Rhinolophus ferrumequinum: one gene and its partner. The protein of the gene in region 1 purifies or fractionates together with the protein of each later gene. This does not show direct contact. Links are inferred from orthologs where the notes say so. Each region holds a gene or a part of one and is shown on either strand. Other genes may lie near its edges.

Region 1 (7,925 bases):
CATTTTCCCCCTCTCCTATTTAAGACCTGAAGCCGTTTCCCCACTGTTCTCCTGGGGGGAAAAAGTGGGGAATGTTTTGTTGAAAAGAAAAGGGGTTACAGGAAAGAAAGAAAAGAAAAAGAAGCTATTGTTTTCATCCCTAATTTGTAATCTAAGATGCCCCATTGTTTCCTTCTTTCTGACTCAAATCTGTGGGTCGTTAATTATAAAAAGTAACTGGAAGGGGCTCCAACAGGCTACCCATGTGCACGCACAGCAAGTAGAAAAACTCTGTAGAAAGTTTACGGAGTGATTACGTATAATTAATTCCTAGTTATAGTCGGGAACACTGACCATTTTCTGGAGCTAATAAAAGCAGTCACTAACCCTTCCCCCTCGTGAATGCCATTTAATTTCCCAAAGCAGAAAGTGAATCCATCCTGGAGGGTCTTGAAGGAAAAAAAAAGGGGGGGGGGCAGATCAAAAGCTCCAGTGTGTCTGTGTTTGTTCCTTGCAGCTGTGCATCCTCTTTGGGGACTGAGGAGATAGAAGGAAAAAGGGAAACAACCCAGTGTCCCGTTCCTCCCTCTGCAATTTGCAAACGTGGCAGAGAGAGAACCTTCTACCTTGATAGAAAAAAAAAAAGAGAGTGGGGGAGGGGCGATGCCCTAGGAATGGAATGCAGGAAACTCTTCAGCTTGGAGGATCTGCTTTTCCTAAAAGGAACAAAGATGGCAGAAATTTCCAGAAGGCCCGGTCTGAGTCCGGCCACTGCAATTGTCAATCTGTAACCTTTCTCCTCCAAGTCTATTGGTTCAAAATCTGGAAGAGAGGAAGCCCATTGGGCTTGCTCTGTGAGCCAGCACTGCTGTCCCTACCTAGTCCTGCTGCAATGCAGACATTTATTTTTCCCCCTTAGTGAAAACTGGAAAATAATGCGACTTTGAAAGCAATTAACTTTTTACAGACTCATGCTTAGTGGTGGCCACAGTCCCCAAGGAAAAGGGCTAGGTTGGTCCAGGGCTAGGAACCTGCTGGAGCTGCACATCTGAAAACAGATCTTGGCTTTGCAAACCTGTGGGAGCCATTTTAATGCAAGCTTTTAGAGGACAAATGCCTTGCCCTTCAGTTTCCTTCCAGCCCAACAAACACACCATTATGCAAACATTGAAGGCACCAAACCAGGAGTCTTGTGATTAGATATTGCTTCTGAGGAGGCCACAAGAACCTCAATATGTAATTTCCATTTACAGCCAGGAGATAGGAACAAAGAAAATAGCTAAGTGTCTGAACTTACTTGTGTGGGGCACAAGTGTTTTAAGTATATAAAACATCATTAACTGCCTGCCCTTTTACTCTAAGACACTGGCCCTACACAGACTTTTCTCGAATTTGGTACCTTTATCATTATTAAATGAGCCTTTTTCCCATTGGTGCTAAAAGGTGGGTAGATAGTCACTAAAAGAAGAAAAAAAAGATTATTGACTCCATAAAGTTGGCATAACACAGCAACTGCATCTATTTCCAGCATTTACAGTCATGCTGGATTGTTCTCCAGACTGAAATTGATGCAGTGAACTTCTAGGGAAATTCTGAAGCTAACACTAAACAAGAGTCCACTTTTTTTCATTCTTAAGTCCTAACTGCAGCATTAAGAGATCAGGGGAAATGTAAAAAGTGAGAAATAAATCATTAGTAAAGGCAAGCGTGCATACAGACGTGTGTGGGTCTGCCTTGGAAAAAGGCCGAAATCTGTTGTTCAGTGAGTCCTAAATCAAACCAAGTTTGCTGCTGGTGGGTGGGATTTTGCAATCCATGTCAGTATCCCAAAACCTAAGTACTGACACCACCACCCCCACACACCACCACCACCACCACCACCACCACCACCACCACCACAACCACCAGCTCCTGCCCCACCACGGCTTAAGGTTCTGTGATTCTAAGACCAAGCACTTTCTTACATTTCACAAGCAGATCACCTACCCAGAGTTCTAATATCCAAACAAACCCAATTAAAGGTCTCCAGTCAAGTCACAACGAACTGCACATTTCTCCCCTGTCTGAGGGTTAACAGGAAGTGTAATCTTCAATCCTAGCTGCAGGTTCTCAGGAAAAACAGTTGATTCACACAGTCACCTAAAATCAAGACACTATTAAAAAGCCCTTATTTGGTTCCTGCTAAGGAAAAGCCCTCCACGGCTGTAGCCAAGACCCCCTGTTACAAACAGGCCCCAAATGTTCACCAAACTCTTTATACATGGTCACAGAGGAAATGGATCGCTTTACTTACCCAACATGTTCAAGCAACCGTCTCATTTTTCCACAGTTAAGAAGAGAGAACAGGCTGGCAGATTTGGGACTTGATCAAAAAGGAAATTTTTTTAAACAGTTACATGGGATTATTAAAAACACACACAACAACAACACAACAACTGAATAGGGAATGCTGTCATGAGCCACACACATGATTTTATTTCCTCTGCACTCTATCACACAGGAGGGCAGAAGATGATACAATGTAAAAAAAAAAGGGGGGGGAAAGGAAAAAGAAAACAAGGATAAAAGATACATTAGTTCATTGAAAATCATGCAAGAATAGAAAGCTAAGGGATTCAAAGAGTCCTCACAGATTTATTGCAGGATGTTGTCCAACATCCCACCCCCCACGCCCCCCTCAATCCCCATCCCTACTCCAAAAACTTCCTCCAAAGCCTAGAAAACACTTTCAGAAACATTTGCTGGCTGTAGGCTGGCTTGCAGAAGAACATTCTGTAGCAACAGAAGTCAGGAAAAAAGGCTGAACAATGTAGTTTCAAGTGAAGAAACCCTGTTGGGAGAAAAAAGACCATGTAGAGACACCACCACCCACCTAGGCCCCAAGAGCTAGGAGCTCTCCTTAGCACTGCTCTGCTGAGGGCTTGGTTCTGTTTAAAACACACGTCCTCTCTGGTCAGAACTTAGTCCAGCCTTCCCAGAACCTCTTTGGAGAGGAAAACTTGCCTGCTTTGCTGTCTGCCATGAGCTCTCCTTAGAGAGGAGCCTGCTTGCTCACCTTCCATTTTCTTCCCCCAGCAGGCATGTGACACAAGAGAAGACAATAGTGCAGGGGGGGAAACTGCTCAGAGAGAGAGAGAGAGAGAAAGAGAGAGGAGGAAAAAAAAAAAAAAAAACCTTCTTTTTTGGCATACCAGGATCTAGCTTCAAACTATTCCAGAAACACCATGTCCTGGTGGAAGAAAAGGTGTGCCAGGCCCTTGCCAGTTTGCAAAATCAGGCTATGGCTAATGGCTACTTAGCCATGTGACCCAAGAAAGCAAAAAAATTCTCTCTAAACAGTTCCAAGTTAACCTAAGTGCTGTGGGGGTGAGTGTGGCACAGCCAGCCACAGAGAAATCACACTGCTCGCCCACAATTCGGATGTCTCAGAGGGAGGGGGAGAAAAGATGGTTAAAAAGTCGAGCTTACCTCTGTGGATGCATTGTTAACACTGTGTAATGTCAATACTTATAAAACATGGAGGACAGGCTCCTAGTTCTCACAGAAAAAGGGTTTGGCACTTCGGCTTGATGATCTGGCCGCCTAATAAGAGCTCATCCCCGATTGGCTGGCCCGGCAAATCGGAGTGTAAGGCGGCCCGGGATTGGCTGAAACACTTCCTGAGCGATTATCTTTGTGAGGCTCTGGTGAGCAAGAGCCATCCTGTGCATAGAAAAAGACAGGCTAAGCTAGGCCTTTTGCAGCAAGAAAAACTTGGGAAAGGGGCCCCCACACGCACTTCTCCCACACCCTGGCTAGATTTCCCTGTACGGGCAAACCAGTGCAGCCAGCCTGACCTGCCCCAGCAAAGCCTGAGGCCTGGATGCCACTGGGAAGAGAGTTTTTGGGGTGAGCTGAAAGGGCTCACCCTCACCTGCCCCCACAGAAGCGGCTCTCGGCTAGGAGGAAGGCTGGCCCTTTTCTAGAACAATCCAGTCGATGGTCCCCCCCGGAGGGTGGGGGGAGAAACTGAGGAGGGGGAGCGTCAGGAAAAGAGCCAAGGGGGCAGGAGAAAGGAGCTTGGGGCAGGCCTTTCAGGAGTTGGGGGCAAACAGGACAGGCAAGCCCCCCAAAATCGCTAAAGAGCAGCTGTGGCTTCTCCGAGGACAGAGGATTCAGGCTGCTTAGGGGAGGAGGGGAACAGAGTGGTCAAGTTTGCATAGTCATTGTCAAAATGCCTCCTGGAAAAGCAGGCCAGAGAGCCATTTTCCCCGCAGAGAATACATCCTCTCACCCACCCCCTTCAGCCAGTACTCAAAGGAAAACCAAAATGGGTTCCTGCCTCCCTGCCAGGATGCCAGGGGGTGGGGGGGCCCTCTCAGTCCTTACCCTAAGAAAAGCCAAGTGCACTCCTAGCAGGCCACATGCCTAGATCTACAAACTTCCCTTCCCCTCCCGGCCCCCTCCCCCACTGCTGAGGCCTGCTAAACCTGTCAGTTAAACAAAAATCTGACTTCCGTATTAGTCTGCGATGCCTTCAGCTTCCTGCCCATTAACCCTCTCTCGGACTCTGGGCCTGGCTGGGAAAGACTAGGCCCTGAGATCGCAGAAAAGGCCTGTGGAAAAATACCAGCTGCAGCTCTCCCGGCAGATGCAGAAAGAGAGAGAGTGAGCCGCTGTCTCTCGCCTTTGCTTCCCAAGGAGGCGTGTACCTTCTGAATCCAGGGCACAGGCAGTGCCTCTCAGTCTGAGAAGCCATTTAAATCCAGAGGGAGAAAGAAAGATGTCAAACTCAACGAGGAAACAAGAACCCCCATTATTAGTCAGGCCTACACCCACTGCTTAGCCCTTCCTGTCACAATCATGCCTGTATGTATGTACTTGGGGAGCTGGGCCCTCGGTGGGCAGACAAATCTCATGAGCTTTAAAAGGATTCTTGCTTAAATTTATTTCCACAGAGTACTGCTTCTTTTCGTCCCCTAAGGCAGATGGAACAGCTATTTCACACACAGCTCTACACTTGGCAGCCCCCCACACCCCTATCTCTGGCACTGCTCCCCAGTAAAATATTAACTAGTTTTTCAGAACGGCTTATAATTTCACCCATTTCAATAGTATGAGGAGGTCTTTGCCTGTTTCCTCCCGAAAGCTGCCTTTGTAGTTGGTCTGTACCCTGAGAAAGAAAAAGCAAATCCAAAAGGCTCTCCGAATGTCCATAGTTGATTTTTCTTTTTCCTTTTTTTTTTTTTTAAAGACAAGCTGCTTAATTAAGATTTTTTTTAAAACAGCAAGCTGGAACAACAGAAGCTAAATAAACACCATTCTTTAGAGGTTGGAGAAAGCTTCCAGAGGTGAGGCAGCCATATGCCAGGAGGTAAAAAACTATGGCCCAATAAAGTCTTCCCTTCCTCCTAAAATTAGGACCCGTGGGCTTTCTCGTCCCACACCATTCATTCGTTCCCACAAAGAAAACATGGAGCTGATGGCCTGCTCTCCCCCCACCCCACATGGACAACAGATGCCCACCCCCTCTGCATGTACATAAATTCTTCCTGGCTGGGAATCTTCCATCAAACAGGAACAAGCCAGGAATCCACACACACTGTACTGCTGGGGCTGGGCCGGCGCTTTATGAAAAGGGAGGGGACCTTGTTGCTGCTGTATTTTAGGCTGAAGAGGCCAAGATGAAGAGACACCTCCACCTCCACGGCCACAGCACCAGCACTCAGGACAACAGGCCTCACCAGAAGGGAGGGACCGCCTCTTCCTGTGGGTGGAAGCCTGTAGAGGGAGACCAAGTAGGGGACAAGAGGCAAGGCCAGACCTAATCAGACAGGTCTCCCTCCACCACCATCCCATAAGGAATATTGTTTGTCTCCCCAGGTGCTGCTTTTGCGGGAACAGACATGACTGAGTCTGTGACGGAATTTGCGTGCAGCTAACTTCACGACCCAATGAGGAAATGAAATACGCCACGGGTCGCGTGGTGGATTTTAACCCGGGATTAAAACGGGTTGCATAAGCAGCTGCAGCATTCTCCCCCTCCCTCCCGCCCTCTCTCTGATCACTTGATCACTTGAAATGTTTTCTGGGGCAAAGAGCAGGAAGCTGCAAGCTTATTCTGGCAGCTCTGCTCTGTTGGAGGAATGCTGTTGGCATTCGGGTAGGTCTGAGGTTATCTGGAAAACAGAAATTCGGCTGGGGACAGAGACAAAGGTATGGTGGCAGATGGAATCCTGGGAGGAACATGGATCGAAAAGGAAGCCGAGAGCAGGCCCACTACGGGCCACTCCTGGGCTTGATGGAATGTGGCTGATAAGAGGGAATAAAGAAGCCCAACGTTGCTGACCTCAATCTAGAGCTCAAGTCAGTGGCCCTTCTCAAAACTTCCCCCTGCACAGAATAGTCCCACTACTGCATGCTCACCGTGGAACAGGCACTATGCTACATCAGCGCTTTGCACAAGCTGACTTCATCAGGAGATAGGGAGCATTGTTAGAGACCTGGAACTGAGCCCAGAGAGGGGAAGTGAGCTGTCCAAGGTCACACAGCTGGCAAGTGCCAGACACCAGACTTCCAACCCAGTTATGACTCCACATCTTTAAACCCTGTACCTTCACTTGCCTCTAAAGGAGGAAACAAAAGAGAAGCGTGATCTGTGTTTTCCTTTTAGGTGGTCAATTCCTTTGAGAAAGAGCTTTAAGTCCTGAATGATGGAGCTGGGAGAATTTTAAATTAGACTCATTCCAAGGCCCAGAGAAAGCTCCTCTCTCCCTGCAAACCTCCAGCAAGAGGTCGGGGGGAAACTTTCTCTAAAATCAGGTTTTTTTATATTCCTTGAAATCTGTGGTTCTTAACCAGGTTCAAAACCAGGTGGTTTTGCCCCCCAGGGCCTCTGTGGCAGTGTATGGAGAACTTTGGGTTGTCACAATTTGGGGAAAAGGTGCTACTGGCATCTAGTGGGTGGAGACCTGGGAGGTTGCTAAACATCCTACCCTACAGTGCACAGCACAGACACCACACACACAGAGACACACACGACCGCCGCAACAGAGAATTATTTGACCCAAACCGTCCCTTTGTCCCAAGGTAGGGAAACCTTGGCTCAGATGAACAGGAAGAAGAAGAAAAAATCCAACCACTGTGCCTCTCTGGATAGAAAAGCCAGCACAGGCCTAAACAAGCAGGTTCCCTGGTGATATTAATAAGCAATGAGCTAATAATAAAAATAGATTAAAACATGTCTCTCTTAATATTCCCAGGGGACGGAGAAAATTGGGGGACAGAATGAGGCTGAAAGAAGCCCGGCAGAAAGTCACGGTGATAAAGCTGGTCTCCAAGGAGAGGGAGGGCTGGCCCCAGCTCCCTTCCCCAGGCACCTTAACCAGCCGAGGCCTGGCCTCGACGAAATGGCTCTCCACTCCGGTTGGCCTGCAGCCAGGAGAGCAGCAGCGGGCGCGGCCTCGGCAAGCTGCGTCCCGAGATAGCCTGTTCGGCTGCCTATGAAAATAAGCACACTTGGAGTTATCTGCCTGAAGCGAGCAGCAGGCCTCTTGGTCCGTTATGTGAAACGGACAGGATTGAGGCAGGGACGTGTTTTAAATATCTTGTTTTGTTCCTTTTTGGCCAATTGGAACGGAGGCCAACTTCAGGCATGGTGACAGAAGGGCTCACCTTCAGAGCATGCAGTCATGTTCCGGCCACAGACAGGCATGAGGACTCCCTCCCTTGGAGATGTGTCCTAGGGAAGGTCTTTCTTTCTTTCTTTCTTTCTTTTTTTCCACTTCTTTCTAGGAGGGACTGGCAGGATTAGGCAAATGGAGGGCAGTGGGGGATGGTACGTGACCATCAGGCAGATGGGCCCAGTGTGGGTGGGGAGAGATGTAAGAGGTGCAGGAAGAAAATGAAAATCAAAAGGAAGATGATTCAAACCTCTGCTTCCTTGCTCTTTTTACTCCCCAGCAATT
Region 2 (7,172 bases), on another chromosome or scaffold:
CTATGATTACAGAATTTACTACTCCACTCTTTTTTATTTTTCTTCCTTCTACTTCCTTTACCAACAAATTGAAACTAGTTAATTTAGCCTAGCAAATTATTTGGGCCCTATTACTACTGATACTACGCACTCCCAATCTAATTCATGTTATATACCTTCGAGTCACAGAATTCTCTGGTGCAGAAGCTGCTTTACTTGCATCCTCTTTCTTCACAATTAAAAAAAGAAAGATACCATTACTGCTACTTTTATACATAAGTTGACAAAATAGTTGTTTTGGTAATAAAAATGTAAACTTTCGTAATTAAATGTGCAGAGCTTAGCATACTATCACATATTAATAATTAGCATGATGCCTATTCAATTTAATAATCTCTGCAAAATATTTTATTAGTCCTCCCAGCAACCCAAATATTCCAAATATAAGCAACTGCAAATTCCATTCTACAAATGAGCCAAGGAAGAACCATAGACTAAAGACAGTAAACCTAATCATTAATTTCCAAACATTCAGTTATACACCTGTTGTTGGCCATCAAGTAAAGCAGTTGAATGGTCTACAATAAAGTATTAAGTCACAATCACCAGGCTTGAATTATTTCCACTCTACCTATCAATCCTGCATCCTGCCCTTGGGACCAGTGCTTGCTCCCATTCCCTCAACAAAGGCTCATCATAAATGTGTCCAAAAATGGGCAGCTGTACACTTAACTGCTACTTAAGTGTACCTCTTTCTACAGTTCAAGTTTGGTGACAAGAAGTTACAAACAGCTTACTTCATCAGAGCCTATCAGAGTCAACAGCAACTAACAGCTTCAGGAAGAGTCTTAGCACTAGTTACCCCAACCTTTTTATAACTTTCTCTTTTACCCCAAGCTCCAACAAGAACCAATCTTTAAATCTTTGAAACAAGTTTTAAAAATTAACTTACATACCTGGTTATTTACTTTCCAATTTGATGAAGGAATTCAAAGACCAGTGTTTTACAAGTGACCCAAAATATGCATGAAGTATTAAAGAATGAATTATAAGAAACTTTAATAATGTTAAAATGTAATCCCATTTTCCACTCCTCCACGATGGCATAATTTCAAACCAATCTGTATTACACATAAATGGGGTCCTCTCAAAAAATATTTTTAAAACATGGCTGTTACTATTTTGGACTGGCTTCCAAAAAGTCAGATAATTTGGATTTCTTCTGTTAAGATTTTACATTTTTCCGTAAATGATACAGGTGGTTATTTTATTTAAAAAACAGGCATTAAAAGATTCATCCTTGCTAACTGAACTGATATAGTATGGCCGTTTTCAAATTAAAGTCAAATTTATTCTGACTCAGTCCCCTAAGGTCTTTCCACCTAAGATGTTGTAATTTATAATACACCTATAAGTAAGAAACAGCTTCCAAATTTTGTACTGCTTCAGACAAATTAGACAGGACTTTCAGGTCGTGAAGCCTAGCTTTGTTAAATTTTAGAATTCCTTCTCTGGAGAGTAACCTACTAATAACCATTTTACCATATTAATGTCTTTTTGAAATCTGTAGAACAGGCGACTACTCGATTTAGTCTCATTTAGGCTGGCTCAGGAAACAGGATTCAGAGATTTAATGTTACTGTTCCAACTCCAAATTAAAAACACCCCTAAAATTAAAATGACTTTTATTACTTACTATATGTAACGTGAGCTCAAGCTTACCTGATTATTTAGAACTTCTGCACTATTCAAAGTTTTCCTACACCAGGACTGCCACCACCTAGAAACAGTTTTCACAAGCAAGATGCCAATGCTCTCCTAAACCTCCAAAGCAGGGTGGTATTTCCTGATCGAACAAAGAGTAACAAAGAAGTGGGTGGTAACCACCTCTCAGAGGCAAGCCAAGACCCATCGAGTCTGATCAACAAAACAAGCAGAAACAACTCCACCTTTCCCTACCAACGTCGTATTTCCCGCGTAGACTGCCTCAAACTCGAAAACCCTAATTTTTATTGAGGAAGTGAAGCCTTTTCATTTGAATGCTGAGAAAGTGGCGCTCAAAGAACCCGGCGAACAAAGGAGAGGGATGGAGCCCATGCAAAACACCAGTGGGTGTCCTCACCCGGACGTGGGCCACCACCCTCAGTAACTACTTTGCAGCACTGACCCGGATCGAGGGGTCCGGGGTGAGGCTGGAGGCGGAGGACGCAGAAGGCACGAGGACTAGCAGACTCGGGGGGGCTGCGGGAGGTAGAAAGCAGCGCGGATGGGGGTGGGAAGCACAGGGGACTGAAGAGGCGGAGCTCTCGCGGCCGCCGGGCTTTGTGTGGAGCCTGGGCCGGGGTAGATATTTCGACCTGGGGGGAGGGGTCGGGTGCAGGAGGCCGAAGCAGGACACCCCCTAATGTCCTCTCCCAAGAGTGGCGGGAGTGAGAGACGCCAGGGAGGGCGGTCCCCGTCGCTACCACCATGAAGCTGGGGTAGGCCGACGCAGAGGCGGCGGACTGCACTGCTGAAGAGAGGGGCAGGAGGTAAAAGTGGGGCGTCCACCTGGCTACCGCCGCGGAGTCCCCCGGGGCCGCTAGCGGCGGAGGGGCTCCCACTAACAGCGTCGGGTCGGCAACGGGTTAAGATGCGGCCAAACATCGGTCCCTCCTCCTTCCCACCCCTCAGCACTGGCGCCCACTCGCGACGGCGGCCTGAGAGCCCGGCGTGGTTCCAGGCCTGGCGCCCCAGCCCTGCCCGCCCACCCTCCCGCCGGCCCGGCCTCTCACCATCGTAGTAGTAGCAGACTTTCTTCTTGCCGCCTCCCTGACTGTACGCCATGGGCTCCCCGGCCACCGCCGCCTCCGGGCTCCGGCTCCTCCTGCTGCTGCCGCCGCGACTCGGCGGGGAGAAAAAAAGGACTGGGGCGAAGGTGGGGGCTGGCAGTCCCGCGGGGAAGGGCAGGCCGGAGGGAGGAGACAAGGGGGCGCCACGAGGGCTCGGTACCGCCCGGCCGAAGGGCCGAAAGCGCGGAGCAGGGGTGGCAGCGGCGCCAACTCGCGACACTGGGGAGGGGGAGGGGTAAGTCAAACCACCTCCGGACGCGGAGGGGAGGTGGGACGTGTCCACTGTTGTCTTCCGCGGCGGGGAGGAAGGGGCAAAACTAGGGAAAGAACGCTCTTCAGTCTTTGGATAAAAGCCCTTCTGTTGGTGAACAACTTTCAGAGGGTGGTGGAAAATACAGTTGTAAAGTGAAAAAAAAGGGAAGGGTTTCGCTCAAGTAGATAAAAGGAACTTGGAGTGGGGGAACGCTCCCTCCTTCAGATCTTCGCACAGTGGTTGCGCCTATCCTGAGCCTGCGCAGTCGGCGCCTCCCCAACCGAAGCCTTGGCCGCCCAGACCCCTTTCGAGTTGTCTCTTGCCGCTCCCATCCCCCACTGTCGCGAAGCTCCCGCCCTTACCGACCACGTGCTGTAAGCCAGGCGGGGAGAGACCACTTTGGTACCCTTCCGGAATCCACGACCCTCCAGTCTGTCCCCCACGGCCCTTCTGTACTGGGTCACCTCGGTTTTCTTTTTGTTCATTTATTATTTGTGGTTTTTTTTTTTTTGTACCAATAATTGCACTGAGGTTCTGACCTGTTAAGGGAACCTACGTATCACAGACGTCAAGGAGTATAGTGTACTTCCTGGGTTTGAAGGAGCATTTATGGAACTCGCTTATGTGTTAGGCTCGGGTCTAACCATTGCATTTATAATGTATTTAATTGATTCCTATTTATAATAAATAACCTGTTAAGTCATTTGAGACTTGCAACAACGCAGAGACATATTTCTATTCCTTTATACGTACGGATTGAGGAACTTGGTGGTCTCAACTGTTGATGATCTGGGGTTTGAATTCAGTTTTTCTCCCAAATCCACATACTTTAGCTACTCCACTATAGTGCTGCTGGCTGGGCACTGGAAGTCTGAGGCAGAAAGCTAAGAGAAAAGATTGGAAAAGTTATGAATATCTGTGTCCCTGTGTTCAACAAGTCAACATTTATCAAGCAGCTACTCTAAGCCAACCACCTTTCAGATAAGGAGTGGGGGTCTGACAGTCTGCCATGTAAGCACTCTTATCCCAACTATATCATTTACAATTTTCTCCAAATGCACACTCTCTCCAACACCCTCATTAAAAGAAAAAAGGCCTTATTGAAGTGGGAACCATTTGGAGCCACCACCCAAGATACCCCTTTATTTTACTATTTGACTTCAAAATCCCCAACGTGGTCACATTAAAACAGCAGTTTTCCTGGACCTCACCCTGAAGACATTTAGGAAACGAAATCTACCGTAATCCTCCTCCCCTCCCCGCAATTCTGTATTTTAAACAGCACATCGCAGGTAACTGATGCAGTTGGTACCGGAAGCACAGTGTGAGAAACATCAGCTTAGAGGTAGTAGAGTTAATTGCATGGTATTGACTTTTAAAGTTTTGCTATTGTATCAAGTCCCAAATCAGCTTGGTAGATTCTAAGAATAGAATAGGTTAATTTAGTAGAAACTAATGTTCTTCTCAGAATCAACTTAGTGAAGTCTGAAATGAGACTTCACTCAAGAAAGTGAAGAAAGTGAAGCTGAGTCAGGGAGCTGACTTTACTCCTTCCCCCAAGTCTGTTTTCTGTGCCCCTAACATTGTAGTTGTGACTTGTACCCCTCTACTTCAACATTTACCATGTTATAGTTGCCCAAAACTTCTCTTAATGTTCTCATTAGACTAGAGTTTCAGGAGAGGAGGAAACATGTCTGTCTTGCACAGAATTGTATCTCTAGTGTCTATGACTGGGGGCAAGTTACTTAAACTTTTTTTTCTGAATTGCCTTACTTGTAAAATAGGGCAGTATTACTTGGAGAATGGTTTATTTTATACATATTGAATAGTTTAAATAAGAAAATAAATATGGAATAGTTTTAAGAAATAAAGAGCTATGAATATGAGATTATTATGATTACTAATAATAATGGTAGTAATAATTATTGTTTGCATCCACAGCACCTAACCTTTTACTTGTGAGAAGAACCTGGACACATATTTTGATTGGTTGAGGAACTTATTATATTGTTTATTATTTAATAATTTTAAATCAAAAGAAGCATTTTACCATTGGAAGCTGGCATTGGAGGAGTTTAATCCAGTGATAAGAGCAGGCCACAAGCATTATGTCCCTAAACATCTATAATGACCTTTAGGTCATCAAAAGTAGAATCAGTTATTGAACCTATTGACAAGCTCCGAACTTCATTTACCATTTTCAAACTCTTCTCTCTTAAACATTTTTACCATTTAAAAAAAAGGGAGTTTTAGACAATATACAGAAGAAAACAAAGTGATAGCGTGGTCCATTCATAAAATGCATAATTGAGGATTGTCTTTATTCTTAAACTTTTTTTCTTTAGTTCTTGCTCTGTCCATATGAACTTATTTTCCCAACCTTGAAGATGTTTAGTTTTTCTGAGGTTATTCAGTGAAATGATCCGTTAAACATAAATGGATTATTTAGAAATAGGACTATAGTCATGTACCACTTAGCAATGGGGATAGGGTCTGAGACATGAGCCATTAGGCAATTCCGTGGTGTGGGAACATCCTAGCGTACACTTACACAAACCTGGATGGTATGGCCTACCACACACCTAGGCTCCATGGTATAGCCTATTGCTCCTAGGATACAAGCCTGTACAGCATGTTATTGTAGAAAACGACAGGAGATTAAATCAAGCACAAGAGAAATGATGCAATCAAGAGACGCGGTAAACATGAGATGTATGAAAGCTGCTGCCAGCATAACTTGGCATATTGTTTTATAGAAAATTTTTTAATAAGTAGAAAGAGTACACTCTAAAATAATGATTAAAAGTACACAAGTAAACACAAAAACAAGTAACAGTCATTCATCATCATCATTAACAAGGATTAGGGACTAGGTAGTTGTATGTGCTATACTTTGATGTGACTGGCAATGCGGTAGGTGTGTTGACAGCAGCCTCACTACAAACGCATGAGTAATGCATTGCACTACAACATCACTAGGCAATAGGAATTTCTCTGCTCCATATAATCTTACGGGACTACCGTCATATATGTGGTCCTTCGTTGACCAAAACATTGTTATGGGGTGCATGACTGTATTTAGAAACGGATTGTCTCAGCTTACGCGAAAAATTAAACCCTGCTATCAACTGCAGCAGATAGGTCAAGTTTTAGTTGCTATAAAAGAATTATAAGCTTCTTTCTACTCTAAAGAAATTTAGATTTCTTGGTGTTAAGTTCTATTTAGCAATTCCACAAGGCAATACATAATGTAGAGAAGTGTAGTAGCTAACAGTACAGTGTTGTCACAAACTACAACAGCCTTGAGCTGAATTCTGATCTCAGAAGAATTGTGCCTATTTTTGCGCAGTATTTATTACAAGCTGTAACTCCTAAATCTGGATAGTAGCACCAAACTGTGAAGATTCTAGTGCTATTTTAACTGCATTTGTGTAATAAAAATCACCCATTTTCGTTAAAAAATATTTTTGAATCACAGCTCATCTACTAAATTACTCATTTACATTGAACTTTTCAAGTTGCCCTGGTTAGCTTGTTAATTGATAAATGCTTTGCCCGTGACCCTTGTAGTATTACTTTGATTCAATCCATCTCCGTGTACCCACTTTTTAGTAAAATTCTATACGCACACTGTGTCTGGGAAAACTTAACTTACTGGTGTTTCCTAATCATCCTATATATGTATCTTAATACTTCTTTCCTATCTCAATTTTTAAACTTTCCTTACTAAAAAAAATTTTTTAAATTTAGTGATTACTAAATCTAGTAATCACTCCTCTCCACTGAGCACCAGAACTGTGCAAATGGAGGTGGAGTATGTTGGGGCCATCAACAGGAATGCCAAATAACAGGAATGGTGGAACAGGAGGATAGGGAGCATGTTCCTTGAAGACCTCCTTTATATCTGTACCAAACCTGACTGCCCACCTCTGGACTTCTGGTTTTATTCAGGAAACAAACAAACAAACCAAAACAGACAGTACATTTGGTTAAACCACTACAGTCAGGATTTTGTTATATGCAGCTGAATACAATCCTAACTTCTGTAAGATCTGAATTAGAAGTTAGTGGCTTCTGATAATGTTTACTAAGAGACTACAGGTGTCTGT

Evidence for each region.
Region 2: the proteins of ZMYND8 (region 1) and HDAC2 purify together in Homo sapiens (affinity purification with mass spectrometry; 4 studies listed by BioGRID and IntAct, with this or other methods). This does not show direct contact. The link is inferred for Rhinolophus ferrumequinum from reciprocal best matches to the Homo sapiens genes ZMYND8 and HDAC2.

Annotation. Positions count from the first base shown.
Region 1 is NC_046306.1:11,178,692-11,186,616, reverse strand, and holds the start of ZMYND8 (protein kinase C-binding protein 1), read right to left. Parts: upstream 3,091-7,925; 5' UTR 3,042-3,090; coding exon of another isoform or gene 3,002-3,041; coding exon 2,983-3,001; intron 2,810-2,982; coding exon 2,674-2,809; intron 2,342-2,673; coding exon 2,273-2,341; intron 1-2,272. UniProt on the Homo sapiens protein: Chromatin reader that recognizes dual histone modifications such as histone H3.1 dimethylated at 'Lys-36' and histone H4 acetylated at 'Lys-16' (H3.1K36me2-H4K16ac) and histone H3 methylated at 'Lys-4' and histone H4 acetylated at 'Lys-14' (H3K4me1-H3K14ac).
Region 2 is NC_046286.1:65,450,264-65,457,435, forward strand, and holds the start of HDAC2 (histone deacetylase 2), read right to left. Parts: upstream 3,090-7,172; 5' UTR 2,806-3,089; coding exon 2,754-2,805; intron 1-2,753. UniProt on the Homo sapiens protein: Histone deacetylase that catalyzes the deacetylation of lysine residues on the N-terminal part of the core histones (H2A, H2B, H3 and H4).